3 linked regions of the Drosophila melanogaster genome follow. Changing the gene in region 1 together with any one later gene gives a genetic interaction. Each region holds a gene or a part of one and is shown in the gene's direction. Other genes may lie near its edges.

The links.
Region 2: of AdamTS-A (region 1) and vkg, changing one suppresses a phenotype caused by changing the other (phenotypic suppression), as found in Drosophila melanogaster (one study listed by BioGRID).
Region 3: of AdamTS-A (region 1) and trol, changing one suppresses a phenotype caused by changing the other (phenotypic suppression), as found in Drosophila melanogaster (one study listed by BioGRID).

What each region holds. Positions count from the first base shown.
Region 1 is NT_033777.3:15,471,206-15,482,210, reverse strand, and holds the start of AdamTS-A (ADAM metallopeptidase with thrombospondin type 1 motif A), read left to right. Parts: upstream 1-6,017; 5' UTR 6,018-6,922; coding exon 6,923-7,324; intron 7,325-9,562; exon of another isoform or gene 9,563-10,073; intron 10,074-11,005. Other genes in the region: B9d1, read right to left, coding at 1-204.
Region 2 is NT_033779.5:5,022,624-5,033,687, reverse strand, and holds the start of vkg (viking), read left to right. Parts: upstream 1-5,496; 5' UTR 5,497-5,569; intron 5,570-6,242; exon of another isoform or gene 6,243-6,390; intron 6,391-6,466; 5' UTR 6,467-6,558; coding exon 6,559-6,651; intron 6,652-11,064. Other genes in the region: Col4a1 (collagen type IV alpha 1), read right to left, coding at 1-1,188, 1,314-1,810, 1,886-2,833, 2,898-2,946, 3,451-3,470.
Region 3 is NC_004354.4:2,540,021-2,551,044, reverse strand, and holds the start of trol (terribly reduced optic lobes), read left to right. Parts: upstream 1-5,617; 5' UTR 5,618-5,662; intron 5,663-6,136; exon of another isoform or gene 6,137-6,282; 5' UTR 6,283-6,421; coding exon 6,422-6,580; intron 6,581-11,024.

The sequences.
Region 1 (11,005 bases):
CAGGGGAAAGGTGGCCGAGACTATTTGGCCCACGATGCTCAAACTAAAGTAGCTGGCAGTGGCTTTCGCGTCCATTGCATTGGGAACACTTTCTTTGGCACTCCGGGACTTCTTTTTGGCCTTCTTGGCCTTTTGTTTATGTTTTTCATGCGGCGGAGTGGTTTCCTCGTTGCCCGGGAGACTGATGCCTTCGCTGGCGCTCATGGTGGTGGTTGCCGACTCACAACGGGGTGTGTTTCCAGCCAAGTCGAGTGCCAACTATTTTCCACCTGCCAAAACTGACTTGGCCACAAACTAAGTGTTGAAAGTGGTCAAAAAATATGACAGCTTGGACCGAAAAAAAAGGGATATTTTCTATAACAATCGATATATTGGGATTATATAGCAAAAATTGTTCGATTTATTTCATACGATTTTTGTTAAATGCATTATTGTATTAATTTGATGTTTATGACTTGCAAGATCGGAAACGAAATGATTGTAAACAATTTCCTCTATATTTTGATGATTCTTAAGGTTGAGTAATAGGAATTCCCCAGAGACACTCAACAAACGGATGGTTTATGGCCTGTCTGCATTTAATAATAGTTTAGATAAAACTGCGATGATAATTTCTATTTTTCTCTGATTCAATGAGGCAACATGTTCATAAATCACATTAATGATTCCTTTCGTTATGTATTGTAACCAGTTGGTGGATTTCCTTTGTTTCGTTAGTTAAGTATTCGCACACTTTGTCATGTCGACAGCAATGTAATTTAATTCCAACCGACATCGCTGGTTACATGGACATCGAGTGGTTCTGGCTTCCAATTTGCATACTCCGATCCAGATCGAGATCGAAGAAACATATCTGCACACCGCTGGTAAGTGACAATTACAAGATAATAACTCATTCTGCAGACCGGCAGTCTGGGCGGGGCAAAAGGTCAATTTCAATTTCGATTCGACTCACAACTCTTGGTCGGTCGTGTAATTAATGCTGTAATGGCCATTTAGCAATTTATAGCTGCCAACGTGGCATGGTCGTAAATCATTGTAACAATTGCCGGCGCTACCGAAGTCTACAGGAAGTCGCGCCTTCGATCTTCGATCCCCCGGTGCCGCTCCCTATTAGCATGATGCATTATGCAATGGCCAGTGGACAAGTAGCCAAGTAGCCAACTGGCCAACAGCCAGGCAGTCAGTCAGTTAGTCAGTTAGTTAGTCAATTAGTCAGTCAGTCAGTTAATCAGTTAATCATGCTGGGCGTAAATAAAATGCGCCTCAAGTAATGTCAATGGTTCAAGGCGAACTCCCGGCTCACCTGGCATCTTCCACGAGCCACGCAGATGATCTTCGCACCCATCGGATTGGATCGTCGTCAGTGCAGCTGTGGAGCTGAGTGGTGGCACAGCTGGGACAGCCGATTGGTGTTGCAATCAGAGTCGGATCAAGTGCTTACACTGGAAGAAAATTCCACTTACCTGTTCATTACCTATTCATTAATAAAACGATGGCTGTGGTAAATATTATTTGCAACTGTATTTTATTCAAAAACTAACTGACAAATTATTAAAGTATTTTCAGTAGTTAAAAAAAAAAAAAACAAGTATTGTTTATAAAAATAAATTAAGATTAAATGCATTACTTATCGGAAATTACCCATTAATAAGCACTGTGTACCCAAAGTTGGCGATGATGTTTCATTACATTCCAACTATGTATATAGTTTTCCCGCTTAATCTGGCATTTCGAGCAGTGTAATGTGTGTGGCATGTGCAGTTCCATGAAATAAGCTCCTTTTGATTGCCAAAACAAAAGCTTAGGCTTAGTCAGTCAGCCCAAAAGCAAAGGCAAAAGCAAAAGTAAAGCCATCAGAAATTGGACATCAGGCCATATGCCAAATCCAAAGCTAAAAGCCGCTCAATTCGCTGCTGCAATCGGAGATAGTGCTGATGCAGCGCAGAATCGACATAATTTGGGCTCGAGTTTAGCTATATGGCATTATACTCGTAGCATTATGCTGTGCGATTTTGATTTCGACAATTTTTCCACTTCTAATACTGAAGAATATGCCGCCTGCAGGCAAACTGACACACACAGACACACAGCCATTGTGAATTCAATTACGTTTTTGGAATCAATGAACGGAGGCATTATTCAGAAGAAATATTCATTTTGGAGTCTTATATAAAACCGATTCATATCCATTGAATGACCGGCCAGCCTGGTGTAAATGAAAATTTTCAATTGAAGTCTTTTGCAAGTGCATTAGCCACTCGAGGAGTTGCATTACTGAAAGTCGAGCGTCGTGTGTTGAACCGATTTGCGAAATGCGAATTTCTGGATCGGTTCAGGGACGGATTAGGGTCGAAATCATCTACAGATGGCGGATATCTTTCCCCGAACTAACAGACTAGCAGACAGTTCAAAGAGTCCGGATGGATAGCGGGAAATTGAGTTATGCATGCGTATGTACTTGAATTCTAGTCAATTTTTATGATCCTATGCCTTTCAGCGAGCACTCATCTTTTATGGCGATAGAGCGGTGCTAGCCATTGTACTTCTGCTACTTTTAAAATGTTTTTAATTTCAACTCACTTCAAGTCTTTTCCACATGATACCCATAAATATTTTTGCAAGGATATGATTTGCAGTTCTTAAACTCAAGGAACAGTCTGATACACTGACAAAAGTAATGGCTGCTTTAGAAATTCAATTTCAACTGTACTGAACTGATCGAAAATGTATCTGAAGGGCAAAGGGAATTTGGGTGTATATATTCGCATTTTGTTTAGTATATTTAAATTATTACCACATGGTGACTACTTTCTGTTCTTTTAAACAAATCCAAATTGGTCAGGGCTCTGACTCTGGAATCGAAAATAGTGTCTTGTCTTGATTCGGAAAGCATGTTTCCCTCTGTGCATCTATATATATATATATATATATATAAACCCCTATTAGTTTATGTTATTCGCGTTGCGTGGGTGGGTGTGGGCAAGTCTCAGGGTCAACGCACGTCGGCCGGCTCCCAGCGATCCCCATTCCCGTCCCCATCCATATCACCCCCGATTCCCATCTAGATCGGCATCAGCATCGCCATCTGCGTGTGCTGTCATGGTAGTGGCTGCTCTGTGCCGCAGTTGAATGGATGATATATGCCATACAGTTAAGTGAAATGTATCTTTGAGATACGCCACCTAGCTATGGGAGTACGAGTACAACAAATGCCTCTTACGCATGCCTCTCTATTCCTATTCCGATTTGGATGCCGGCGATTCACAATTCGATTCCTGCCGCTGATTGACAGCGGCAGTAATTGAGTTTGATTTTTGCGAATTTCCAGAATTTAGACATCATCGATGTGGGCATGGAATTGGGGGCTCTTTAAGAAAGGTTTTTGTTTAGTTAGCCCAAATATTTGATTCGATTTGATTGAGCAGCTGTCAGAGGAACTTCAAAACCTGAGCTCTCAATAATTCCGCAGGCCTGCCGATTGGATTGGATCTCGGGTCCGAACGGATCGCTGGAATGGCTGTTTCGGGTTTTCGCAAGCTTTCGATCATTCAATCAGGATCAATATTTATCAATCAAGTGTGTGGGTGAGCGCAAAAAAAAAGCGACTGAATGGAACTATCAGAGCAGAGCATAAACATATAGAAATGCCGAACCAGCTCACGCATTAGACATGCTCACCCATTATTATACATACATACGGACAGACATACGGACAGACGCAATTGACTAAGAGGCCTGCGCGTGTTGGACGCACGGACGGATAAACAGACAGTCAGTCTGACATCGAACATCTGAAGACTTCGAATTCGATAGTGATCCGTAGTCTAGGGCTCTTCACAGCCTCTCGCTTATTGATCTTCGATCCACACGAAGGCCGCCAGCGTGCAGATCGAAGTTGCACAAATGCCAGGACAAGGGGTCTGGATTGGGTATCCACCTGAAAGTGATTCTCTATCCAAATCCAAGTTGGGGCCAGTCCATCTATGCTGTTGCCATATAAGCATCAACAGCTAAACAAAAGTTTATGGCTATCTGCCCGCCTTATGATCTAAATGCGTTAATTATTAGGATGATACAATGCGATCGGAGCAGATAGCATAGATACAAAAATGGATAGACAGATAGATACATTGTGGTCAGCGGTCTCCAGTGGCTCGATCATTAGCATCTGAAAACCAGCGGCGCCTCTTTGAGCAATATTTCCTAATTTAGAACGTATGCTTTCCTACAGATCAGTATGCGATTTGCTAGACTGAGCAATTTATTAGTGACTTGGGGAGAGACTCCAGCTAGGAGTCGTTTATTTTGTTTAGTGGCTGTGTAAACATTGCTTACAGGGCATGATGATTAGTTCGGTGTAATACAAACAGCCTTCTTGGGGAACTCACTTGCCCCCTCCAGACTTTTAGGGCTATTTTGTAAGATGTTCTGTTATGGCTGCTGTTTTATGTTGGCATCATTTGGATGCCGGCTGTTTGTTGTTGATTACAAAACAAGCGTTTTGTTGCCGATTGCATGGTTGCATGGAGAACGCTCTTCCTGGAATCTTTTGAGATGTTTTTCATTAGTCCACCATTCTCGCAACATCCGTAGTATATGAATATGCATCATCGTATTTTGGAATATTTTTAAATTTTCGCCGACCTCCACGGCGGCGAAATGGATTTTTAATTTCCAACTATACTTTAATTTGGCAAACGAGCTCTGGTCTTTTAATTGATTAATTCTTATTGCTGCGTTTGATTAAAGAAAATATTTAGTATACAATAGGGTCAATTGCTACATATGGTAATTTGGCACAGAAGACATTTATGTGGAAGAGTTCTCGGCGTTCAAATAATGGAGCGAATGGCTACTATTTTTATTCACTGACGCGATCAGTAGATTGATCTTGACCCACATTGGATGGGCTGGGATCCGGCAGATGTCGCACACTCTATGCCCAAATGAGACAATATAAAGTATAAAGTATAAAGTATTGTTTATAATGATACCAATTTGAGACAAATCAGTTACACTTGCCTATCTAAACTATTACGATATGTTTGTTCAGCTTGTGTAGATTATTTAGATATATCTTTATATTTGTCGCATTTCTGAGTAAAGGCTGTCGTGTCAGTTTATTTACGTCAAAAAAAGAATTTTTTTTGATACTGATGAGCTAGTCATCATTGTACCATTCTCTGTGATCATCAACTTCCTTTTTTTCTTCCGAAATGACTTCTTCCGGAAGTGCACCACTGGTAATGCCCAGGGTCTTATCCTCTATTTCAAAAGAATTCGTATTCAAAGTTTTTAGTACTGCTCGGTGCGATTAGTAATGCATAGGCTAGTAAAATAAGTCATAAGTAAAAAGAGTTTTATTATTTACTCAAGTACATACTTACTCAAATTGGTTGGTATCACACAAGTGTGAACATGTTTACAAATTTTGATTACTTTTAAAAACTATTACTGAATAAAGCATGCAGCATAAGCCTATTTTTTTTTTTTTTAATATTTATATTATTTCATCCGAAAAGGCAGATACTCTAGATGCAAAGATTGTTACTATGCTAACACACCTTATCTTATCCGATGATAATTATGTCCACACACTTAATCCTCACATGTGCAAAAATATTGAGTAAGCAGAGGCGCACTTAAGAGAGCGTTCGAGTGCTCTTTTAAGCCGCGCTCGGCTCTCTTTTCGCCACAGCGCTCTCTGCGCAGAGAAGCCGGCTGTTCTGCGTACTGATATGATTCTGACGTATTTCTAATCTCTCTAAAACACTCCTTCGGAATCGAAATCCTAAGCCCATTCAGCAAACCCATATCCCTATACTCGTGCCTACATACGAGTATGTACATACATATGTACATATGTATGTATGTATGTTGTACAGCATATAGCTGCGAGAGAACCGCTTTTAGCTTTCGGAGCGATATATGTTCGCGATCTCAGATTGCTTGGCGGTACGGCGGAACGTCCGCTACCAACTGCTGTTCGGCGAGCAGTGTTCAGTCCGCAGCGGGAACTCAAGCGAGCCGAAACGAAACATCGCCAGATACAGATACAAATTCTCTGGTTCGCAGCATTGGTCTGGTCCATCGGCTCGTTCTCGTCCGTTTCATTTATTTGCGCGCGCGCGGTAGTATCAGACAATTGCTAAAGTTCCATTTGTAATATTAATCCAGTTGCGATTTCTAATTCGAATTTGAATACGTATTCATCCCAGTGCGCCAGTGTATTCCGTATCCTGACCAGCCATGTCGGCCAGATGGCGATAGCGATGCCGATGCCAAACGATCGGCGTGTTCTTGTGAACTCTGACATGGTGCTCAGTTGTGGGACAACCTTCGCCACCGAAAAGTTTGCAAAAATAGCCGCTGGCCGAAAGCGAAAAGAAAGCCAGCAACTCAGAATGCCAACGGTGGCCAAGTTAATGGTGCAGCTCGAAAGTGAATGCATTCGGCGCGATGTGTGAAGTTCAAGCTTAACATTGGCCAAAACCCAACCGCAACTGCGAATAAATTCTGTGATTCGGCAAAAAGATTCATCATGAGATCGTACAATGGCTCCAGTACTAAGTAGTTTATCTAGCTAATCGCAGCCATAAGTGTGAGTCGTTTTAATACCCACGAGCCGTAGTCTTTGCCTTTCTGTTCGTTCGTATTTTCGCATTTTTTGGCGGGTGCGGTGCCCACGGCAACGGAACGAGACTGTCGCATTTCAATTAACAAAATAAGCAAAAAGCCAAAGAGCCAAAGAGCCATAGAGCCAACATAAGTGTAAAGATACATATATCTACAAGATATACGTATAGCCGTATATACGCATACTGTGGATTTTGTTGCTCTTTCGCGCGCATTTTTGCACGTGCCATTTGGGATTTCGGATTTCTGAGATTGGAGATCGCTATCTTATCTGGTCATCGCCATGTCCATGCCGGATGCCGGTTCACTTAAATCGCCCGCCGGCGGCCAGGAGGTCGAGTGCCATCGCCTGCTGTCGGACCTGCCCGCCTTCGCGTATCCCAGCACCACACTGCGGTCCACAACTTCTGGTCACAGCACTGGCACGAATAGTACCACTGTCTGCGAATCTCCCGGTGCTCGGGATCGTACCTCCTTCGCGTGCTCCTCCTCTTGCGTATCATCCGCCTGCTCAGCCACCGCCTCCGATGACGACGAGGATGAGCGTGCCCTTGAGCGCTGTCTGCGTGGGACGACGGACGACCTTGGGGAGTCCGGCCTGCGGTATTCGCTGAAAGGACCACCGCCGGAGCTCTACTCGGCCAAGAAGGACTTCATCAGCAAGGGTCCGCTGCTGGGCAGACAGGTAGGTCCTAAATCCGAGCTCTACATAAGTATAAATATTTTTGGAGGCCTAGTCCGCCGCATCGAATTTCGTGGGCTGATCGAATTCGCAGACCGGGATTTTAACGATTTTTCATTTATTTGTGTTTGTATTCGTCTCTGTCTCTCTCTCTCTTTTTTTTCTACTTTATCGAAATCGGCTGGCCAAGCGAAAACCAAATTTAAGTTAATTTATTGCATTGATTCCACATCAATGTGTCGAGTTCTTTCCTTTCTTTTATAATTTCGGTTGATTTGCCGATATTTTGGTGTGCTCGTCTCGTTTTGTATGCCGCATTGTTTTATTTCGTTTCATTTCATTTCATTTCATTTTTTTTTTTGTTTTGTTGCTTTTGCCGCCACTCTGGCTCTCTATTCGATTTTGATTAAATACCACTGGCGACACAAAGAAAGCGACAACCAAAGCGTTGACCACCGCATTTGAATTCACACGCCTCACTGGCCACGAAGCACCGCGCACGCGGCAGCGGAAATGTGAATCTGGATCCCAAGTTGGATCCACGATAGGATTCTCGGCAACCTCACCGTTCGACAGCTTCAAACAGACTGAAGATGGCAACGTGTTCGAAGCACTTCGATCCAAATGCGCCAGAGCGCCTCCACGAAGTGCATTCATATATCAAGCAATCTGGTCATCAAACTATTCCTTTTGGTTTGGGTTTGCAGCTCCCACTTCTTTAGCTGACTCATAATCCATCCATTTGCGTCACACAGGGTCTGCTGATGTATGTCGGACGTGTGTTTCCGCCAGGTTGCCACTATCTTGCTCTAGCTCTGCAGCAACAATTTTCGGGAAAGCGAAAGATTCTGCAGCATCGGGAGCACATGTCCCACAGGAGATAAGAACATAAAAGATATCTAATAGAGATAAAGAACAAAGACGCCCCTGTCTGGATGTCACTGATATTCCATATTCCAGACAGGATTGGGTACGAACTTTTTTTTGCCCATTAGTGCGAGGCAGACGACGAATTAAGATGCAAATTTCGATAAACATTTTCAAGTTCGGTTTAAGGAAATGGTATTGCAGTTACACACGACCTGGGTGGAAACAGCACATAACTACGATTTACAGAGCTCAACAAGGTGTGAAAAGCGTTTGTTTCGGGACGTGACAACAACGTGAATGGAAACATGCCTAAATCACGGCTTACTGGCTAACTGGCAAGCTGGCTAACTGGCTAACTGGCTAGCTGGCTTACAGGCCATTAGAATTTTATCAACGTCCGCCTGGCGGGCAATGTAAAATGTGAAAAACGACACGATCCCCCGGTCCATGAATACATAATAATGCATAATAATGTTGGGTGCGCGAGTGGTGAAGTCTGTAGGCCCAACTGCCACTGATAACGGGCCATGTGTGGCAACGTAACCCCCTCGGGATCGAATGGGAATAGGATGTACTGTCTATTTGGGTTGTATGTATAAACTCGTATGCACATCGCTTGGCATTTTAGAAGCACATGAGTAATTGTGACATATTCAGTGCGGTGCGACTCGATTCACTCGCTGTTGTGAATGTTTCGAAAATAGATTTTCTAGTTTTTCGCGTGGCGCCTAGAATCTGAGAAGTCGGGAAATACATGCATGTAAGTAAGGCTGCGCCGTCCAATTTGTATTTCGACAATAAAATTTTCACAATGTGTAGAATTTGAATATTTATTTTCTTGCTTTTTGTTTCTGTTTCGCGTTTTGTCTTTTTTTTTTATTTATTTATTTAGTTTTTTTTTTTGAGTCGTACGTCGTCGCTTTGCGCGTGTTTCTCTGTTCTCTTTTTTCAATTTATTTCGTCTACTTTAAATAAAAACAAAAAAATATGCTAGTTTCGGAAAACCGAAACTTATACACCCTTGCAGTAATTATTTGCAGAGTTTGAACAAATTAAAATCGAATGTCAAATCACAAATTTGGTGTGTACCGAATTAGAACGCATTATGATTAAAAAACAACTAAGCTGGGATTAGTTTTTCATTGATTTGCTAGACATTTTATATGATATGATAAGGTTGTCCGTTTCTGATCAAAAGCGAAAGGCTGTAGATTGTCTTCTTTACTGCGTTGCAAATTCCTGACTGAAAGCAATATACCCTTAGCAAGGGTATAACGATGAAAATTTGAAGAGTTCAGTGACACCAGAAAAATATAAGAAAAGTAGAGAAAAGATGACTGAAATGCTCAATTTGTCAGTTGCTTAAAAAGTACCACTCAATATGTGGGTGCTGTCGAATATGCGACGAGTATATGACCATCCATCCACCCAAAACTAGATGGATAACCCCCGAAGACCCCGAAGAAAATCGAATTGTGACCAACGACGATTAATGATCGTAAAATATTCAGCTCGTCTACCCGTGATTAATGCCACACATAACCATCATTCTGTATACCGATTCTCATGCAAATGAGTAGGGCGTGTCCTTGCAGCCCTTTGCATGGTGGATGGGGTGACAAATAATTTGTCGGAATATTAATGCCGTCAGAGAACAAAATAGAAATAAACCACAGGCAGTAAAAAGGCCAGAAAACGAGCAAATAATTTTAGGTGTGATGCCGGGGCGTGACTTTGGGGTGCTGTGCTTATGCTTTAAGCTGGTTATTTTGAATTTAATACAATTTTTTTCGCCAAAAGATATATACGTGATCTGAATGCAAACACTTCTGCGAAGGCCCGCATCCCCCACCCCTCCCCTCGGGAAACCACCCACGTTCCCCATAAAAGCAATTTTGCTCATTTTCTAGCAAACGAAAACTGTCAAAATGATGAAAAAAATACTTATAAAACTCTAGGGAATTATTTCGAGCAAGAGAGCCGACACTGACATACTCTATTCTGATTTCTAAGCATTTGAACACTTTTCAAAAATGTTGTAGATCCCTTAAACATAAAAGTTAACGACTACAAGCCACCTTGCCTATAAATTAATCATTGACTTATAAGTAGTAATCATATTTGTATTGTTTACCACGCTAATTAATTACATCTGAGCCATAGGAAGTGTGTAGGAAAATATGATCAAAGCATTCCGGGCCTGACAAGTGATTGCTCATCTTAATTAATTCCTTTTTAATTTATCAGTCAAGATTAATGTTAAACATGTTCAATCTGGCTAGGAGTTGCTTTTGGACACCGAATTCGGCGTTGGCCCAGCCGCGGTTTCTATGTTAATAATTTAAATATGGATTTTAGCGGCCTTTTTCGGCGTGGTATTAGCATAATTGGGGGCCAGTGTCCATTCCCGCCAGCCGAGCTAATCCACTCAAGGCGAAAACACCTCTAATAATTACCTGTCCAATTTTTCTTCACATTCTGGTGAATCTGTTGAATCTGGTGATTTTTCTATCGATTTTGTATCTTGTGTGTGCGAGTGTCTCTGCTGCGCGCAGGTCGTGAATGAATTTTTCAACAAATTATTTGGATATTTTGGGAAATACAAATTTGTTTAACTGACTGATGGTGGTGGGCTTACATCAAAAGGCCAGAACCGCCCATAGAGCACAAGCTGGTTTCATCTCGGCTTGATTGTCTTCGGGGTCCATTCGAATGCTTTATTTGGTGTTTAGTTTCTGGTCCCCATCCCCAGTCCGCATCCCCAGTTGAACGGGTCGGCCCAAAAGTTGGTCGACTTATCTGGCCGTTCCGCGA
Region 2 (11,064 bases), on another chromosome or scaffold:
GATACTCCGGGCAGACCGGCATCGCCTCTATCTCCAGGATATCCCACACTGCCATCGGCACCGGGAAAACCAATGGGTCCGGTTGGACCACGGTCGCCCTTCTCACCTTGCAGACCATTGAGACCGGGTGGGCCCATAGGGCCGGGTCTCGAAATACCAGGCTCTCCCCTCGGTCCAGGCTGTCCATTGCGTCCGGGAATGCCGCGAAGGCCGTCCTTGCCAGGATTACCAGGTACTCCGACAGCGCCCTGGTTGCCCTTTTCACCGCGAGGTCCATTCAAGCCGCGGGGTCCTTCAACGCCAGGAGGTCCCTGTGGTCCAGTGTTGCCCTTCAATCCGGTATAGCCCCTCTCTCCCGGGCTGCCGTCTTCTCCCGGAGGTCCTGGCATGCCGGTTTGGCCGGGCTCACCCTTGTTACCCTTGGCGGGCATCTTAATTTCGTCAAGCGCACAGCTACCGGGCTCTCCCTTCTCGCCGCTTCGGCCAAATGATCCCTTGTCGCCCTTTGCTCCGTCCCTTCCATGGAAGCCTGGCTCGCCCTTGATGGATTGACCGGGAATTCCGGGGTATCCGTCCCGCCCAGCGCGTCCGGGTGTTCCGTCGTTGCCGGGTGCTCCGCTCAAACCCTTCTCACCCTTGAAACCGAATTCTCCTTTGGGTCCAGGGATACCAGGCAGACCTTCTGCTCCCTTGAATCCTTGCACGCCCTTTGCACCTGGCGCACCAGGGTAACCCTTGTCACCCTTCAATGGCTCAATCAAACTCAAATCGCACAGAGCAGGTTTGCCAGGCTCTCCAGTTGCTCCGGGAAGACCAGTGCGACCGTCCTCTCCCTTCTCACCAGGCGGTCCAGTTTGTCCGTTGATTCCATCGTGTCCACGCTCTCCGGGATATCCGCGCTCTCCAGGCGGTCCTCGTGCGCCATCCTTTCCGGGAATTCCAGGCAGTCCGCTCGTTCCCTTATCACCCTTTGGTCCGGCCCTGCACGATGAGCATTTGCCGCCGACGTCACCCTTGATACCCATGTCTCCCTTTTGGCCAGGAGTGCCGGGACGACCAGCGTCTCCCTTTTGTCCAGGAGCACCAGCGGCACCGGGAGTTCCAGGACGACCCAGCTTGGAGTCACCGGGAGCACCAGCATTGCCCTTGAAGCCGCGCTCTCCCTTGCTACCCTTTAGTCCGGGATAACTAGGACGAACGAAAATTAATTCGAATTAAATAAGATCTTTAATGAAGGAAAGTAAGAACAGGACTCGGCTCCACAGTGGGACTCGACTGAGTGCTAGGACTATTAAATGAATCATTGCACTTACCCAGGTATGCCAGCATCTCCCTTAGATCCTTGAATGCCATAACCGGGCAAACCGGCGTCACCCTTCTGTCCCTCTGGTCCCGGTGGTCCTGGGTGTCCAATGGGTCCGATGGATCCCTTTGGTCCATTAAGTCCTGCGGTTCCCTTTTCTCCCTTTTTGCCAGGAGGTCCCTCGTTGCCGGGGCGACCGGGCAGACCAGCACCTCCCTTTTGTCCATTGTATCCCTGAGGACCCGGTAGTCCATCAACTCCGTTTAATCCCTGGGGTCCAGGTGCGCCAACATAGCCGCGGGGTCCTTTGGGTCCCGGGGGTCCTGGTGTTCCACGGCCACCGCCTGGCGGTCCCGGAGGACCGAGCAGACCAGGCTTACCTGTCGCTCCAGCACGTCCTGGCTCACCCTTCTGTCCGGGATTACCGGGCAGACCATTAAGGCCCGGCTCGCCACGATCTCCCTTTTGTCCTGTAGATCCTGGGGGTCCAAAGTTACCTTGGCGACCCTGTACGTATATATTTCATTATAGAGGTTTCAACTTCCACTTCGATTTGGAGCCTTAAGTATGAACTCGACTTACGCGATCGCCTGGGCCGCCGGGCAGACCCTTCTCGCCCTTCTGTCCATCGAGTCCAGTGTCGCCTTCAGGTCCGGGCTCACCCTTGCGGCCAACTAGGCCAGGCTCTCCCTTCTGTCCCATATCGCCGCGAGGTCCCATCACCGTGTGGGTCGGTTTGACGGGAAACGAGGACGCGGGCTCACCCTTCTCGCCCTTGATACCCGGTGCACCAGGCTTCATGGGTCCGTAGCAGGAGGCACCCTTCTCTCCCTTCAGACCGTGCTCACCCCGGGGTCCTTTGGCTCCGTAAGGTCCACTGTCGCCGCGCTCGCCCTTTTCTCCAGGAAATCCTTGTGGTCCAGCCAAACCGGCAGTCCCCCTCCAACCGGGCTCACCCTTCTCGCCCTTCGCGTAATCACCGTTCTCCTTTGCCGGTTCACCCTTCTCGCCCTTGCTGCCAAGCTGGCCGGCATATCCGCGAGGTCCGGGCATTCCGGATAGACCCTCCAAGCCAGGAATACCATCCTGTCCGTCGCAACCGTCTTTACCGTTGATACCAGGGGCTCCGGGATTGCCGGCGGGTCCCTGGACTCCGGGTACACCAGCCTGACCATGAAGACCAGGCGATCCGCGCTCACCCTTATCACCACGCTGTCCGTATGGGCCGGGATCACCCTTCTGACCCTTGTCACCAGATGGTCCCTCCATGCCAGGGAAACCCATTTCGCCCTTCAATCCCGTGGGTCCAAGAGGGCCCGGCAGACCACGGTTGCCCTTCTCCGCTATGCACTTGGGCACACAGCCCGCATATCCGGCCGTACAATTCTTGGGCGGCAGATCGCCGCGCGCCACGCCGGCAGAGTCTACAATGTCGTAACTGTCGTCGATTGGGAACTTGGGTTCATTTCGATTGTAGTGTTTCACGGAGTCCTGAATCGAACCGGCCGTACCAGCCGTCTTCCAAAATTGCTGCGGGGAAAAGGAGTATATTATTCAATGTCCAGATGGATGGCATGGGCTACGGTTATCTTACAGCGTCGGCACCGACTAACGCTCCCGCGATCACAGCGGCGTATAGCAGCCTGCAAAGAAGTCGACGAAGATCAGGAGGGTTAGGAACTGTGCTTCGTCTTATCAGTCTAGCTATTTAATTGGACATAGCTCTCTTCGATTGGCAGCTCTCTCTTAAGCCGTCAATTCAAGAGAGTTTGCTAAAGGCGCTTAAGAGAGAGCTTACAAGTTTTTAAGAGATCGCGCTTCGAAAAATTAAAAAAAAATTGAACAAATGTGATGTTTTAAATTATGTATTTTTGTATTGCTGATATCTAAAATATTAATTTAAAAACTAATATTTGCTCTTTCTGAATGGATTAGAAAGAAAAAAATTGGCAATACTTTTTTAGGCCATAACTGGGTTTTAATCATTAAAAATTTCAAAAAAATTTTAAATTTTTAAATAGAGTATTATTAGTTGTTAAGTAAGTATTATTGTCATGGTTTTTAATAATTAACAATTGCTTTCTTTGATTAACTTAAATTTTTGCAACCATTTGTATTATTTTTCTAACTTTTGTCATTTTTCTTACCGCTTCCAGAAGGGCAACATGATGCCCTATGCACTTAAGCCTGCACAATTATTTGCTCTGTCCTCGTCGAATTTGAAGTTTATATGTTGCCGTCGCTGGGCCTGGAAAGATGAGCCAGAGAATTGGGCACTTTAATTTCGCAACAGTTGCAAAATAAATTGGAAATATTCTTAGAGGAATATTATTTTATTTAATATTTGTGGGAAAATCGAGCTGGCTTATTTTTTTTCAACGATTTAATTCTTGTATTTCGTTTCATTTCATTTCCAAGCATATACACGCGACAGTTTGAGAGGCACTGGAACTGGTACGAGACTCGCACAACGACTTGCTGGATATTTTCAATTAATAGTACGCGTTCTTCCTGATTTAATTAAGATATTTTATGTTTATATTATTTTGTTGTTGTAAAAGCTCAGTTCCTTACAGGAATCAAATCCTATTTAAGGGACGGTTGGACGGGACGGGACGGGACCCTAATGGAAACACACATTCACAACCGAGCGATCCGATCCGAACCGATCACCACTCCACAGCGCTGACTAAAGACTAAAACCAGCTGGCCAGATCAGCTCCGGACCGAGACCAGACTACTACTTACTCGGGGAGACGGAACACGACTAATTATAGTATAAGTTCGAGCGATCCAAAAGCCAAACGCCGATGCCCCGATCTTCACTCGTCGATCGTTCGGCTTGGCACGATCTCGACGATCGGGTCTACGGCTCATGTACACTATCCGTGTGATTCGACGGGGATTGGATGGGCATCGGATCGGTTGCGATGGCTGCGAGGTGGCTGGTGGGAGGTGGGTGGTGGCACCATGGCATATAGAACGGATGGGCGACGGGTCGTCGTATGTAGCAACACTAATCCCACAAGTTAACATAGTCGCTGCGGAATGAATGAAACTTGGCGATAAGTCCGTCGCTGCTGTTGATATGCCACATGCGACTTAAGTTGCTCAATAGCACATCAGCTTCGTTCCGCCGGAGCACCTCCCCGGGAGCACCTTCAACCAGCTCTCCGGCTCCCAGATCCCAGCTTCCAGATCGCAGCTACCAGCTCCCATCTCAAAATTAGCTGATAGCCCCCGCCCTGAGATCGGGCACATGGCTTCCGTTTTGGTCCGCCCCTGCGGCTCCTGCTTTTTGGACTTTTTTCGGTGCTCGGGCAAGGGAAATTCCGAAGGCTTCGCTATCAGGCCAATGTTCTAATTATAACCTCATCAAAATTTTGTGTGTACTTACAATAAGTATGATAAAAATATCTAAAACTTAAAGGATAACAAAAACATGTGTAAACATTTTATTGGCATATACTTTACTTTTAATAGGATTATAGTCCTTTTCTAAGTTTTAAAAATATTCTCTAGCTTTCAAAACTGATATAATTAATTTGACAAAGGTTTTGAAGATTAAATCTCTTTTTAAGCTTTACTTGGTATATTTTTATTTGCTATATATAACTGATTATTCAAATCATTCCATTCTTTTCTAAAACAAAATATTTTAGTTTGATTGATTTTAGTATGTCGATGCAATTATTGTTTCAAAGAATGGTCTTTTTTCGATTTTTTTTGTATCTATCTACGCTTTATTAAAACTAAATGTATCTTAAATGAAATTTCATTTTAAGTGCCAAGTTTTATACATACTTAAAATAATTATTGTTATTTAATTAATAATAATTATTGAGATCCATTCATTTTGATAGTAAGTACGACATAATACTTACTAATACCGCTCTAAACATAAATTAATAAGATTTTAAGTTGCCGAAGTGCGACATCATTTAATATCCTAATCACAGCAGTTTCCTGAGAAGACATATATTCAGGCCACTGGGCCATATCCGACTTGCACGTACCCTAGAACAAAAGAGCTTTCCCAACTAGAACGAGGCCTTGATTATAGCCGCCCTATCAAGACTTATTTCAAAACACTGTGGCCCCGAAACCCAAAATCAGGCTCGAATTTCGAAAGGTTCCCATTTGGCTTTTCTGCGTCGGACTTATTGGAGCTTAAAACTCATGTTCGGTTTTCAGTTGATCAGTAGTTCGTTCTAACAGGAAATACTCAGCCATATCCGTCTTATCAGCCTCACATATGCCATATATGTAAGTACTAAATGAAAAAGCCTTAACCTAATCACGAGAAGCGCGACAAACAAACTAGCATCTAATTGTATTGAAATCACTAGGATAGCTGGGATTGAGTATTAGAATAGCTTTTACCCCGCAAGAAATATCGTGTGTCGCTAGTTGGAACTATCATTTAAGTTATATGCGGATGGTTATTATGTATAAATGGTATGTGCCTGTTAGTAATAGTTAGTAATAGTAACATTAATTAATAAATTATTTAATAATTTGTATTTTCCCAAGAGACGTGCCTAATAAAAAGAACAAAGTGAGAATCTGATTGATCATACCCCTTCAGGGATACGGTACCAAAATGGGAAATAGAATTTGTATGCTTAGAATCGGGCCGCTTTGATTTGGTTAGAGGGCTCTGCTCCTCATTTCCTCGTTTCAAGGCGTCAAAGTGCTAAATTCCGAACCATAACCAGAGCCCGGAGTCACATCTACATCCAAACCTCCATCCAAATCTCCATCCAAAACATCCATCCGGGCCTGTCCCTGGCCTGTGCCTACTACACTCACACTGCTGCAACTTCCACTTGCGATAGTATTGGTGGGCCGAGAGCCGATCGCGAACGGCCGAACTTTTACGAGTGGAGCCGAGCGTGCCGAGTGTGCGGGCGAAGAATTCGAATTTCTTTAGCGGGACTCGTGTTTAGTAATACTTCGAACGCTAGACGATCTCCACATGTGGGGAGAGTGCTGTGCCCGACGATCGCAGCAGCAGCAAATCAGCGTTTTCTGTTAGTTTCCCACACTTTTCCGATCGTCAACTCTTTAATACTTGATTTGCTAATGTCGGTTTTATTTGAGGGCATTTTATAAGAATCGAAAATTCTTCAATTTCTAATTTTATGCTTATTTCGTTGGCAGTTTCGTGTGTGTTTTAAGCGGGGAGAGACAGAGGCAATTAGATAGAGTGCGACATAAATACGTTGCGGATAGGACCAAAGGACCCAGCGAGGATGTTACCCAGAGATCTAAGGCATCTCTCGGGTCTTCTGGGCGTCGTTTATCTGTTGGGCAGCCTGGTTTCCGTTACCTTGGCGGATGGAAAGGTAAGTGCAATCGAAATGCTTAGTATAATATCCAAAAATTGACAGCTCTTTAAAGACTTGGATTGAGAAATGTATAGATTGTAGTGCAATAACTTTTTTCAACTTTTTTTTATGTCTTAAAACAACTTAGGAAATGATATTTAAAATAAGGCTCTTACTATTTAAAGTGCTTCTCAGACCATAACCGTTTGAATTTTATGAGATTGCTAAATACTAACCAAAGTGCTTGTCAAACTGTATATGCCTATTTCATTAACGCAGCATTTTTAAGTTACTTGAAGCTTATAACAATAATATTCTTAATTAACTTTGAAAGAAAATTATCATGTCCACCAATGCTCTCCAAACTGTATCCGTAGTCATTGATTTCGCATTTACATAGTATCAACCATAAACAACTATGTAAAATTGGGTCAGCTCGGAGCTCGACTCTTAATCACCGCTGCTATTGTTATTGTTATTCTGCAGCACTGCACTCTCTGATTTATTCACACTTCCGGCATGAAAACATCGCGTAGTTGCAACTCTTTGGCTTCGACAGATAATTCCTTTCAGCTCGTTCCCGATTCCGGGGGTTCAATGAAGTCCAAGTCCAGCTTGGGATCGATTATGTCATTAAATAATTTTGGCAACATAATTTTGTAGGTGAAGAGGTTGGCGATAACGCCCATTGATAACCCCCCTAATCTTTCAATTTGGAGGACATTGCTTTTTTGGCATACCAATTGTGGTTCGCCATTGAACGTTTCCGGCTGGCAATTAGAATTATATTTAATAACCGCCAGATTAGTCGCTTAATTGGCATATAATCATTTGTAAAATGAAACGGGAATGAGTATGAAAAACAAAGAATGCGCAGGTTCTTAGTTATTACCCCAATTGAATAGATTATTATTCAAAATAAGACACATTAACCATTGAGGTTGCGAATATTTCATTTATTTATGAATGATTTTTTAAGCAAACACAAAAATGATTTGACACAAAAGTGCGAGGCAAACGCAATACTCAATGTTGCCCCAAAAACTATGCACTACTTTTTAACACCGAGTTGCCCAATTCAGTGTACCTTGTGTATGTACCAAATTAAATTGAGTATTAATATTTAAATGGCTAGGGATCACAGAGATTTCGTAATGCTGGATGAAAAATGGAGCACATGCCGGCGGCACCTACTTTTTGATGGCATTCGGCTGGTCTTATCAGGCTGCGACTGATCTACACACATTTAATTAGACCTATTGCTATGTTGGCGGCATTGACGCCATTGATAGCATGTTCCGCTGATTGCGACATGGCTTTCTAGACTCGAATTTAGAATAAATACACTTTAGAATTGAAACAAGTGTCGCCAGCAGTCGCAGAGGCTATCGGCTTGGCTTGACTTTATTGCCTTTACCAGAGATCAGAGTTTAGTTTTCATACCAGTTGAGCAGTTAACTCAATGCACAATTCGTGCACTCAATTCGTTGGGATCTGGAAATCTGGCCCCATCGCTCACGTGTTTGCCATCATAAGTGTGCAGCTCGTCTGACGACTTTGGTAATCCGATCCACAGCTCTTTTCGCACTCGGTTACGTGGTCAATGCCATGGGCTTGGGACCCTAACTCCCGGATTCCGAGTGAGAGCTGCCAGGTCTCCAGGTCTTGTGGGTTGCCAATGGAGGACTAACCGCAAAACGATGAAAAACTTGACTTCGCTTAGCTACCGTTGCTCGTGTTACCCTCACGATAAGCGAAGGCTTACAAAAAAAGTTGTTTCACTTGCAACAGTATTTGAAAACGATATAATTAATTATATCCTGGGTGCATTAAGCTAATCTGAATAGAAGGGGATTCACATTTTTCGCTGGAATTAGTTTTGATTAGAAACACACATTGTATGTATGCCATTATTTACAATCTATAAAGAAATTTATAAAGGGAATTATCTGCTATGAGTAAGATATATTCATACTTAATGTTTTTAAGGGTATTTATTCCAGCATCATTTGAATATACTTATTAAACAGTTAACAGCTCTCAGGCAATGGCTCTAAAACTGTTCTCGCAATGGGTTTTGCAACCAGTTTGGCGCTTCATTAGCCGAACAAATGATTTCCTTTTCCGTTCCGCGAAAAGAGAGCCGATCGCTTAAGAGCCGCTTCAATCGAAGAGCAGAAGAGACAGAGAGAGATGAACTCATCGATTGCAGATGCAGCTGAGGCTTTCAATGAATGAATTTTGATAAATGGTCTTTATCAGTCGCTCTCCCCACTTTACCACTGCACCACTACCCCATGCACCCTTTCTCTTTTCTCCTGCACTTGCCCAGCTATAAATACATATATGGAAATGCCGTTATTGCCTGTGAATAAGTGTGCTCTTTCGCCAGTGCGCTTGTGTGTGTGTGCGCAGTTCGATTCCGACAATTAGCAGCAGCTCAAGTGATCGGTGAGGGGCTCTCTTGGAGAATCACTGGAATTGAAATGAAGAAGGGTTGCCGGGGTATGGCGACTTCAGGGGGTGAGGGGGTCGGCAATCTTTTGACGTTCTGCACCATTTCAAATTGGAATTGAAAGTTCTTGGCTGTTTGTTGTTTTGTTGCTTCTGCGGCGGCTGCTGCTGCCGTCCAAAGTCTTAGAAACTTCGATGGTGCACTTAGAAAAATCTTAACTACATACAAAACAATATCAAATAAATACATAATCTAAAACCTTCGAAATTTACCATGAATTCCGAAATTTTCTTATAAAAAGCTTGTAAAAATATTGTATTATATTGAATTGGTTATTTAAGAAGAGGAGTAATTTCTATCAAATTATAAAATTATGATCTAGCGGGTTTGATTATTGCCACTCAACCATTTCTTTCCGTGCACCTTCCCTTTCAGTCTTCAGTTTCGTTCTCCTTGGGTTTTGTTTATTCCCGATCCTGGTCCAAAGTGACCCGATGCTGCTGGCATAAATCACTGACCACCGCCGGCCAGACTGAGCGGGGCCAACTGGTGATGGGTGTCCAGCTGGTGGAGGGGATTTCGATCCAACTGAAGACCGCCCAAGAAAACGAAGAGCGGGGGCAGCAGCTCGGAGCTCGGACAACAATGATCATCATCTCATTGTTGGACTCCTTGTGGAAGTTTATTTGCGTGCTTGAGCTGAATTGTTTGGCGAGTTGCATTTCAATTTGACTCAATTATTTATTTATCTGCAACTGAATGCGGAAATTATGCGGAGTCTCGCTCTCTATATGTACGTGTATGTGTGTGTGTGTGTGTGTGTGCGATATGGACAACATGTCGTATGAGTGATATGGGCAGGGGCCACTTAGTAGCCGCCTTTGTAATGAATTTCGTGAATTGAAACGATTATTTATGAGCGAAGCTAGTGAAATTGGGTTATCAGTCATCTGTCTCATAACTGCAGCTCGCTCTTCTCCTTTTTTTTTTGCCGCCTTATCAGTCCGTACGGGCTCATGAAATTGATATTCATCTGAGCATTTGAAATTCTATACATATATACATATATTTAGACACTATATGGCATGTACATATGCATATGTGTACAATGTATGATGCGATTCCATTGCTGAGATTCCATTTCAGACGGCAGACATCTACTGTCATGGCTAAAAATAAATTCTGCTTAATTTGCTTGGTTAACTTTCTAGTGCTTTGATTGTCTGAATTATTTGCAGGCCATTGAGATGGTTAACCAATGGCTTCATGATTTCAAGCGATTTATAACTGGGTGAAATCTAACTGGCAGCTCCTTTGATGCAAAATTCGAACGATAATGGTTGCTGGCATGATGTGACTTATGATTTTAAGTGCATTTTCAAAAGGTAACAATATAGTTTCCCAATCTGACGAATGTATGTACATACTTTGATAGGCGATTCAATCACTTGGCGCTTCCTTATCGCCACCTTATTGACGATCGTTGCGAATATTAAGTTGTGACAGCCCGCTGTCCATCAATTTCAATGTTAATTTGAGTGCACGGCAATTAGTTATCATCTGTCAGGCTTGTGTCCAAACAATTATGCGCCACGATGCCGTAACCGGTCACTCAAGCAGATCCAACTGGGTTTTGCTCCAGACGCACGGTTACGGAGTGCGTGGGTGTTCTCCATGTGCCAGTGGCAGTGCAGATTCTTTTGCATCTTCTCCACATGTTGACTTAATGTCAAGCCGGAGCAAAATGATGTCATGCAGCAAGTGCGCCCGTCCAGATGTGCATCCATTACTATGCTATGCTCCACATGAATGTTGGTGTGAGTAAGTGCGGGGGTTGCCTTTTCATGTCAATCACACGCTGCTCATATGTTGGCCCATATTCGTTTTTTTTTTTTTTTACTGCTACCCTGTAGCTGTGCCCCAAAATCGGGCGTTTTTATGCCAACTGAATCTGGCATGAATCTGGCACTTTTGTA
Region 3 (11,024 bases), on another chromosome or scaffold:
GTTGTTATTTTGAATGGAGCAAATCGCTTGCGTGCATTATAATAATCAGAATCTCTTGTCTTTCTCTGGCCTGTCAACGCAGTTATCATCTTCATCGCACACTGGCAAAAATTAATTGTTACATTATTATATACTATATATATATATATATATGTATATACTTTCCAGATGTCGCAGGATTGCTAAAAAAAAGTGCAGCATTTCCCATTTCGACTAAATGTATGCTGATTTTAATTCTTAAGTGCCACTCGTCGTCACCTGTACGAGTGGAATTTTGCAGGTGGATTTTCCGGGCAGGAGTGCCGCAGGTGGTGGCGGGTAGAATAGAATGCCCCTATTTCGGTTCCCTGCCCTCTTGTTCTTGCACGTTTTGTTTGCCTTGAATGCTTTCCTTTTTGTCCATTTGAAAGGGAGAATAAAAGGAACGAAAAATAACGAAAATACGAAGAAAAACTTGTGCAAATGAAGCGTTAAATTGACTGAGTGCTGAAGGCGAGGCGAGGTAAAGGAAAACTCGTCCTGCAACTAAAATGGCAAAAAGAAAAGGAAAGGAAACTTGCTGCACTGCACGGGGCTTGCCATTGACGTCTTTAATTGATCGAAACATGGCAACTGAATACAATCACTTGATAGTCTCGGCGAATATCGCGAATATTTACCAAAATTCATTTCATAAATAAACATACATAAGTATTTATTTTGATATCTGTTCTTACATCTGTCAGTTTAATTTGAATTTCCGAAAATTCGATCATATTCAACGCTTTCCATTTCGCAGTTTGAGGGTTTTTTTTTTTGCAATTTTTATGCTCAGTTCTTTGTGTTACCCATTATTTGGGGTTTTTAATGGGGGCACTTGAGTTTGCAGGCATTTCGGTTTAAAATTAGGGTAATTTGCTTATTTTGCGACTTTATTTAAAACATTTTTTCAAATCCATAGTTTGTTATTGTTCCAAACAACTTTGACACTTGCAACTAAAGGGTATGTGCAAAGCGCTTCGATTTTGCGTGAAAGTCTTTCCCTTTCAGACTTGCAGGCCATACTTATATGTATATACAATATATTTTTTATGACTGTCAGTTGTGCCGCGTTTGGCAACAGAATTTGTTTAAACGCAGCGCCGGCAGGGTGAAAAATCAATTTTTTATTGCCCTGTTGCTTCAGTTGGCTGCTGTGTTGCTTTTGTTTAGATTTTAGCCAGATTTATTAGCTTAGCAGGCAGCAAGAGAAGCGCTTCTTTTCTCAGCGTTTTATTACTGCTGTTGGCCCCAGCAAAGTTGACAAGTCCCGCCGATTGCACTGAGAAAAATCGGTAGTTAATATCTGCAAATATAACTAGATGATCAAAAGTTGTTGATTAAGTATAAATGAAAAGCAGCAATATTTATTTGATTTGCACATTTGATTCAGTTGCTCCGAATCTTTTCAGTGGTTGGAACAATAAAAGCAGGCGGTGGTGCTGTGAACTGGGGGCGTGGCCCAGGTGCCCGGTGCAAGAATCTATTTGCCTTTTGATTGCCTTTTAATTACTGAGCAGCAAATAAACATAAACAATGGCGTTTGGCGAAAAATAGAAGATCTGTATTTAGCCGGAGCAAAAAGCATATGCACATATAAAACGAAACGAAAACAGACTCAAAAAACAAAAATATTAATGATTAAGCTCGGTAATTGGAAATAAAAAAAAGAGGCAGAAAAAAAGAGCAACGGCCTTCTTTGGTTTGGCTTTGTTTTTCTCCTTTTCTAACAGTTTTAATCTTTTATCTTTACTTGCGTTTAAAACTCGCCTCGAAGTTGGGAAACTAATTGAACTAAACTAATTGGTGCAATGCGTTTGTAAAACCAAAGTAGCAATGTTTCCACCACCAAAAACAAAGCCGTGCAGATAAATTAATTAATTAAGTAGTGCCGCCTTTGATGGCAAATCCGACGTCTTCTATGGTTTTTTATTAGATCAGACTGCGACGAGCGGATCAGGGATCGGGATTATGTCCATCTCAAGAGACAGGTGGCAAGTAGAACGGTGGGTGGAATGACCATGAACTTCCTCATGGAAGATTTTGTCCCAAATCATTTCCAGACGACGTTTAATTGTCGAATTGACCCAACCCCTCATGGAACCTGACTACTTGTGTTATCTGCAAATCCTCCTCTCCTAGGCTTTCAACTTTCGCCGCCGACCTTTTGGCAGTCTTGTTGCGACTTTCTGCCCGCCCCCAAAAAATTCGCACAGAAGGAGATCAATTTAATTAATGCGAAATGCGAATTGAAACCGAAATTAAATTTCAATGCCACAATGTACTCTCAGATGCGTATTGATGAGCGGCTGGCTCAATTAAGCTAAAAGCTTCGACCAAAAAGGGCTTGCCAAAAACTGAGTGAAAGCCGGCCAAACAATTAGCAACTGCCTTGGTAACTCAACAGACGAGCCCGGTGAGACCTTTTCCGCAGCAGGACACACACACACACACACACCATCCACACGCAGACTGCCCGGCAATTGCACAACAATCGGTTTGAAATTATGGACATGGGATGCTGCCTCCCAGATGCTAACCAGCTCCTTTCCCACACCACTAACACCGAAGGTTGGTTCCATCCATCTTATGCAAACTGCAGTTTTCAACTTGTTACCTGCCACTTGTTGGGCTTTACGGGGGAACAGAACTGTTCGTTGGGTTTTCGCGTAACCGACTTTCCTTGAAATTCGATTTAAACGTACATTGTACATATATCTATGTGTACGGCAGTCGATTTTGCGAGTTGGGAAGCTTGTTGATTGGCAAAGATAGCTTCGCACTGTCCTAGAACTTGGGCTGGAATGTCAGCTGCAGGTGCGCAAGAAACACAAAAAAAAAAAAAATAAATAAATAAGTAAAATAAAATAAACTATACACACTTATGGTTTCATAGTTTTTACACATACGTAATTCTGCTAGCAATCATTTACGAGTCACTAGATGTTAGATTTTCCTGAATGGCAGCGTTCTTCTTTTGAACAATGGAAACCTTGGAATATCGCTCATACGCCATGTTGAACACAACTTGACCTGTTACACTGGGCGTATGAGTTATATTTTTTGCAAACTTTACCCCAATAAGCTGTTTCGCTGTGTATTTCCTGTTCAATTGTAGAAAATAATTAAACAGGCGTAAAGGCTATTTTTACCGGATGCAAAAATAGAAAGCAGCTCTGTGGCTTGAAATCATTCATGGCAACAATTAGTTTTCAATTACAAAATATCGTCCTCGTCTAATTCACTAGCACATTTTACCCAGGCCTTTACGTATGCAAAAGTAAACAAGTTGCCATTGCGAAACACGTGACTGGGCCAGAAAATGGGAAAGGCGAGTATTTAGTGTGAAAGTCGAAAGTCGGTAACGGAAACCAAAAATGTGCTCGGAAAATGTAAAAGTGAGTGCAAAAAACGAGGGCGGAATGTAAATGGGACAGGGATATCTTCATTGTTGTCAAAAGGATATATGGACAAATGGAAAATAACCCTTAAATCTATTATTAAGCACTTCAAAAAAATGTCATTTTCTGGATTGTCCGTGTGGCCACATTTGACAACCAATTTGACAAGTAGATGAGATCCTGTAAGTCACCTATTTCATAAACTCTTAATGTGTGATTAAATTGAAACAGCTTGTTCTTTAATAATTGAATTTTATTCAGTTAAAAACTTATACTTTTGGTGGCAAACGCTTTAGGAAAGCTTTTTTGTTGACTTGGCTAAAAGCTTTTGTGCAATGGCTCTCAAACTGTAGCTAGCTTTCGATTGCAAATGTGGCTAACAGAATCGTGTACTCACCACTCGACGACTGTGGTGAGTTCGGTAAATTAAAAATATTTTTTTTTTTTTTTTGTTTTTTGGTTTTTCTCACCGTTGATAACCTTTATAGGTTACGGACTTAGGTTGATAATTCTAATTGTTTCAGCACTTGCTCCAATTTTGATGTGATAACATTTGACTCCCTAAATTGAATGAAATGCTCGAGAGTGCACACATGTCTAAATATTAAATGATTTGAGCAGTTGAAAAAACAAGTGCTACGAAAGTCGAACAGATGTCATTGCTTTTCAATTGAAGAAAATATGTTCAAGAATCGCACTGCGACCAATAAAACATTGAAATGAATTTGTGCACAATTTTACTAAAATTTATAATGTTATCTTATCACTAATTTATAAACTTAACACCTAGGCAAAGCTCAATATTAAGCACGTATTTGTGTATTTGGTGTCTATCTAGCTAATTTCTCCAAGTGTATACAGACCATTGCCATTATTTTCAATAGCGTATTCAACAATTTTCTGCGTGTATTTTTAGTACCTTTTCTTATCTGCGAACGGAAGCTGTGGCCACTTGTGAGCGTTCACCATTTAAATATTAAATATATTTTACATTAGCAAAGGCGAAAAAGGGGAGGAACAGGGAAACGAACCTGAGGAATGGGCCAATTATTCCAGGAGATGGGGCCCTAAAAAATCGCAACGTGTCCATTGGTCCTCCATGTGGGGCGTCGGCATCCAAGTCCGGTAATTCACCCTCACGCATGCGTCATTTTCGGATGTCATTGGGTCAGGCGCCAATGGGAAGCCGCCTTTTTGGTGGTGTTGACAGGGGGGGGGGGGGTGGTGGCTAAATCGGCTGAAGGTCACGGATTGTGGCCGGTCCTATGGCCAGTTGACAAACCGACTTAACCGCCAAAGCCGACGAGCCCGAAATGCTAATATCACATGGATGTCCGTCCTGCCAAACTTGTATTGTGTTGAATATTTAAAATAGTGCTTTGCATCAATTTTAGACCGATGACTGCACATTTAAGATGATTTGCTCACATGGTTGTATGTATGTTTTAGGTGCGCCAAGAATTAATTGTCCATAAACACTAATATTCGTAGGAACAGCGAGTAAAGGCTATAAAGTTCGTGTTTCAAATACGTTTTCACTGGTGTTTGGCTTTCCTACGCGAATTGCATCAGCATTTTATTGGACTCTCCTTTTTTTTTGAGTGTCAAATTCAAAGAACTTCAATAAAAAAATGTGCGAGGAGAGCGCCGCTTTTCGTGGGAGTGAGTGGGATAATTTGCAAACCGGCTGCCGCAGCAACAACGAAAGGTGAAAAGAGAGCAAGGAGCAACGGTTTTCACTTGTTTATCAGTTGACCCAGAGAGCGAGAGCCACTTGGGCGGGTGTTGAGTAAAAAAAAATGGGGGAGGGGGGGCTTACTATCCAACTAAAGTGATAGTTACTTTTTTTTTTCTATCGTTACGGCCTTAAATGCTGCTTTAGCCGACTGGCTAAATCGCGACTACGCTCCGCAAATAAGGATGGACAGGCAGAGCGAGAGGAGAGAGAGCAGGCGCAGCTAACTCTGCGTAAGCGGACACCCACGCATGTGAGCGAGAGAGGGATAGAGGGAGAGGGTAAGGGAGAGAGAGAGTGCGGTGCATCGACGCAACAGGCTTGCAATGGCCATTAAGCGCCGTTAAACAATAACAAGAGCACGCAAATCGCTTCGGCTCCGTCGCGCTTTCGGCCTTCGTGCGTCTTCGGGCGACGCCGGCAGAGCAGAGGCAGCGATGGGAATCGCAGCAACGGTTCTTAGACATTAGGTTGCGCGCCATCGTTCCAGGCGGTCGCACATTCCACGGTGTGCTGTCCCTTTGTTTTCTGTGTGACTCTGACTCTCTTGTGGGGAGCGTTTGTCTTTTTTTTTTTTTGAGTGCTCTCACATCCTCGAAGTGCCGAAATTTTGAAAATCCCCGACAAGATATCCTGGTGATATCGGTTCAACGTTTAAACAAAAACCCAAGCCCTGCTCCTTTTTTTTCATTCATTAACTAGTGTGATCCCAAAAAGGAACCCATACTCGCAACGAATACGAATAGTGTCCATCGCGTGTGAAACGAAACTAAAGAATAAGGAATGAAACAAGAAAATAAAGCGAAAAGGCGGAAAAGCGAACAGAAAGAGGGGAAACAAATATCGGCTCGTCCAGGAGCGAACAGATGATCAAAGGGGATCATTCGGATTTTTCGAAGAAACTTCTGAAACATGACGGTTTCTCTGGTTTTTAATTCGGATTTGGTTTCACCAAAGCCAAAAAATTTTGCTGATGTCAAATCACCGATTTGCTTCCCCTTTTTCCGTGCGCGGAGAAAAAAATCCCCAGAAACATAATATCAGGATGCTCTCTATCTCTGTCTCTGTCTAACGCTTAATTGTTGCTCAATTGCGAATTAATGTCTGGGGCTTTTTTTCTCCGTGCAGTGCCATAGCCGTAACCACAACCTGCCAGCCGTTTAAAGCCAAACTAAACAAAACGAACCGAAACTGCCTTCACAAAGTACCTAAGCCAAACCTAAATAGCTGCCAAAAGAAACCAAAACCGCCGTTACCCGGAAAAGAGATGATGGGATCGCCGGGATCCCAAGCGTCCGCGATCGCGACCTCGGTCGGAATCAGAAGCGGGCGGAGAGGTCAAGCGGGAGGATCGTTGCTCCTGCGCCTCCTTGCCGTGACCTTCGTCCTCGCCGCCTGCCACGCACCGCTGCTGACCAATGCCAAGGTGAGTTCGACCCTCTTGTTGGGATATGTAGTATTATAATTATTACATTGCTATTTGAGGCCCAGGAATGCAGTTAACAATTTGATTAGTTCTATTCGGTGACATGATCCTAACAGCCGCTTACCATTCACATGACCATTGCCCATCAGCTGATGCACATCCCATTCGAGATCGGTAACCCAATGATCTCTTATTCCGGATGACACAACTCTGGGTTCCGCGACGAACTTGAACTATTTAGCATGACACACATACGAGTATTGTTTTTTTTTCCCAATAGGCGGGACAGACAGACACAAAACGAGCGCCACCAGTGATTAGCATAAAAATGTATTTATTGTAAGTGGTTTGGAAAATAGTTTTCCTCCACTCGCCATCAAATTAGGAAGTTGAGCCGGGCTTCGAGGCTTCAGGGTTTCGGAGCTCGGTTACGGACAATGTTAAGGACCGGATTTCGAGTTGAGCAGAGGCCAAAAAAATAGATCACCAAGTCCATTGGGCCGGGGTCATCATCGCAGGTTATCACTCTCTCGAAAAAACAGACGCTGAATTAATTTCTTTTCACAAATTCGGATCGAGTTCAGATGCTGGCTTTTGAATTTGATGCGATTGTGTTCGGATGGCTTTGCCAATTATTATGAGAAGTCGATTGTTTCAGTTCCAAATTCTATCTTTGTGCCTGAAGGAGGGAGGGGTCGCTGTGTGTGTGTGTGCGAGTGTGTGTGTGTATGTTTTCCACCATAATGAGCTTTGATGATAGCGCGTTATCAGCGTGTTAATGACATGTTGCCCACAGACATTTGCTTGCAATGAAATAATTTCTTTAATTAACATTTAAAATCACTGAACGTTTGTGAATGTTTCAATGGCTTTTGTGAACGGACGGCAGTACCTGCTGGACAATTCTGGTACTCTGCTTGATTTTGTCGAGCATGTCGTTTCCATTCGATTTGTTTTGCTGCAGCGCTCACACTTTTTATCACATCGGAAGTTGCGTAAATGAGGCCAAATTCGAACACATGTACACATACATACATACGGGGGCTATGTCGCCTGCTCAGGGCTTATCGGTGGGACTGGGACTGGGAGTGGGACGGGAATGGGAGCCACACTTTGAAGAAGGAACCACTGCAAATCGGACTGCAAACGAGGTCACTGCTGCAGCACGATAGCTCCATCCTCCGCTTTTGCCCATCCGGCGTATGCGTATTGCCGGTCATCGGACATTGCGCATACGATCAGGTGGCACGGTGCCCCTTGGGGCATTCGATATCGTTTATCTTGGGTTTTATTCGTTTTTAAATTGATAGCTGAACTTGACTGAAAAGCACATATGCTAGCTATCAATAATCAGTTTAAACACCATACGTTATGTCACCATTCCTTTCTTTTTGGCAAACTGTGCAACTCGCCACTGATTCCATAGTGTTTCTTGAAAGTCTGAAGCGCAAAGTACAACTCACTGCATATGGCAACTTCTGATGCTTCAAACTGATATTCGCCTGGCAAGCGAATTGTGCTGCTCTGTTTACATCGACAGATGGGTCCTCATTCGATGGCCCTTTTCCGGCTTTCCAAGGGTATCCGATCCCTCACCCCCCACCCTTCTTGGCCCTTGGCTTGTATATCGCTCATCACATCACGCCCCGTTGTGTGCCCCGATATCTGTCAAACAAACTGTCAAAATATTTGCATCATCAACAACACAACTGCAAAGCGAATAAGAAAAAAAAAAAAAAAAAAATTAAAGCACAAAACGGCAGCCAACAGATGAGAAAATATCATTTCGCAGCTTTTTTGACTCGCCCGTATCGTTTTGGTTTCTTTTTCAGCTTTTCGGATTATGTTTTCTTTGTTTTTCATTGGTCTGAAGATGCGTTCGTTGGCACATTCCCTTCGGTTTTCAGTTCTCCTTGTTTTTCGGTTTTCTGGTTTTCTTGTTTCCGTGGCTTCACGGTTTCTGTTTGTTTGTGCAACATATGGACACAAGATGTTGTACCCCCGATCACACATGTGACCGGCTGCTTGGCTGCCTGGCTGTTTGTGTATCTGCCTCATTCTGCTGGCCTTATTGAATCGCTGGGAAATGGCCTTTAAGTTGAAAAGGCGTGGATCAGTTGATTTCAATATAAGCTAATACCTTCAATCAAGTTTCACTTGCCGAATAAAATGTTTTTTTTTTTTTTTTTTTGCAAGTAAAATATGTAACATTTGTATATAGCCCAACCTCTTTTCCTGTGTACCGAAAACATTCGCACAGCGATCACATGCAGTTTCACGGGAAGCGTCATGCGAGCATTTGTTTAAATATTACGCTGGGGCTGTCTAATACACCAACCCACCAACCCTACACCCCCCCTCACCCACTTGAGCTCAAGTTCAGACATTGACCAAGGGGCGGGGACTCGATAAGGAGGCGGGGCCGCGGGGGCAGAGACAACTGGCACACTTAAAACTGTTTATGCGAGATGTGCGAGGTGCGAGGTGCGAGTGAAGTGTCTGGCTCGCTTTTCCCTTCCTATTTGTGGAACTGTATATGAAACGCTGATTGGCGATATCGCCGAGTGTTGGCTTTGTCAAATTGGCATTGCCAGATGCCAGGCTTCCATTGCCATTAGTCACTGGGGCAGCCGCATTTGACCTGGTCGGGAGGGATCCTTAGATGCCCAGACCGGGCGATTCATTTCTGCGGATCCGGAATCTATTTTCCCTGGCTGACGTATGCATTTCTGTAAGGAAAGAACTGGTGGAATCTGGGAGTCAATGGGGAGAGGCAAGGCTATGAGGCAAGCATTTAAAAATAGATGGCGACAAGATACCAGAGACGAAAGTTTTCGATTCGAGGCGGAGCATTAAAGTTGGGAACTCGGAGTGGCTAAATCGGCCAATACCCTATAATGCAACGCGACAAAATGATGCATCGCAACACGTAGATAAGCCGAATTTTCTTGTCTTGTGAAATGCAATTAGAACGTGTTTTTTATTGCACATGTGGAATTGATTACTAATTGAAAATCAACACCTATTCTGTTGTGATACACCTGATACACCAACTGATGTTCTTTAGAGTTCATTCCACCCTCGAATATTTCGCCACAAAAATGCGAACAGGGATCCGCTGAGGTATTTGCCTCATAGACTAAACATTGAAAAATAACTCCAAAGTGTAGGGTAAACCAATTTCTCAGCCTGACTTTTCATTTCTCACTTCGCAGTCCCCAACCAACTATTGTAATTTAATATTTGCATGGCGCGTCTGTGGGGCACAAGTATACTACATATATATATATATATATATATGTATATATACATAATATATGTGAGCTGCCCGCATATGAGCAATTATTGTTTGACTATTGCATTGCGTAAATTTTGAAAATAGAAAAAAGCAGCGAGAAAATACAAAAAATCATCCCAGCACCCATTAACAGCATTTCTAGGATGGGGAAATTCCTAAACTGTCGCAATTTGCCTTCTGAGTTATTGCAAAATGCAGGAGGCCGTGTGGGTGGACATACATATATAGCTATCTAGATATATATATATATATATATATCGTGTCATCATCCCAATCCCACTGAACACAAGACATACGAAAAGTAAAGACACATTGTTCGCACACATGATGCCATAAAATGTGTTTGAAAACTGCATTTAAATTTTCCATTTAAGCAAAAAAAAAAAAAAAAAGAAGCGATTATAGAGCTTAGAATATTGTCGCCAAGAATCGAAGCTGATGATCCCATCGCGAAACTTAGTATGCAAGGCAATCGGCGTATTTTTTTTTTTTTTTTTTTTTTGGGTAGGTCTCATTCGAAATTCAAGGCATCGCAGGGCTCATCGATAAAGGCGATTTAAGCCATAGAGATTCTAAGATTGTTCGGCTTTGATTTAGATAACACGTCAAGCGAAATGATTGTACAAATAGATAGAAATAGGGGAAAGGATGCAAATGATTTTGAAATACAGTACAAGAAAAGATATTTGAAATAAACTGATCACGTTCTTTTATATCTTTAGCAAAATGTTAAATGTATTTAGACTCTATTTAAAACTCTAATGATCGGATCTTCGAGTTCCATTAATCGTATGTCATTTGAAAGTCTCTGATTGATAGTCAAAATCAGATACACATTTTCGAAGATTATACAAAACGGGTTTAAATCTATGGGGCGAATTAATGGGTGAAACTTTTTTGAATGCCGAGCCGAATTCAGATGAATGAGTTTAATTGGCCGAAAATGTTAGGGGCGATTTTTCAATTGGCGGAATTGACTGCCAATTACAGATCGATCTTTGCGTCCATCCTAATCGTTAATCATAATCAGTGCGCCGGAAATTGGAAAAATGAAACATGAAAAATGAAAATGAATTGAAACATGAAAATATGAAAATATCGACAATGCGGGTGACATCAGCTTCTGTTCGGCGGCAATCGCTTCCA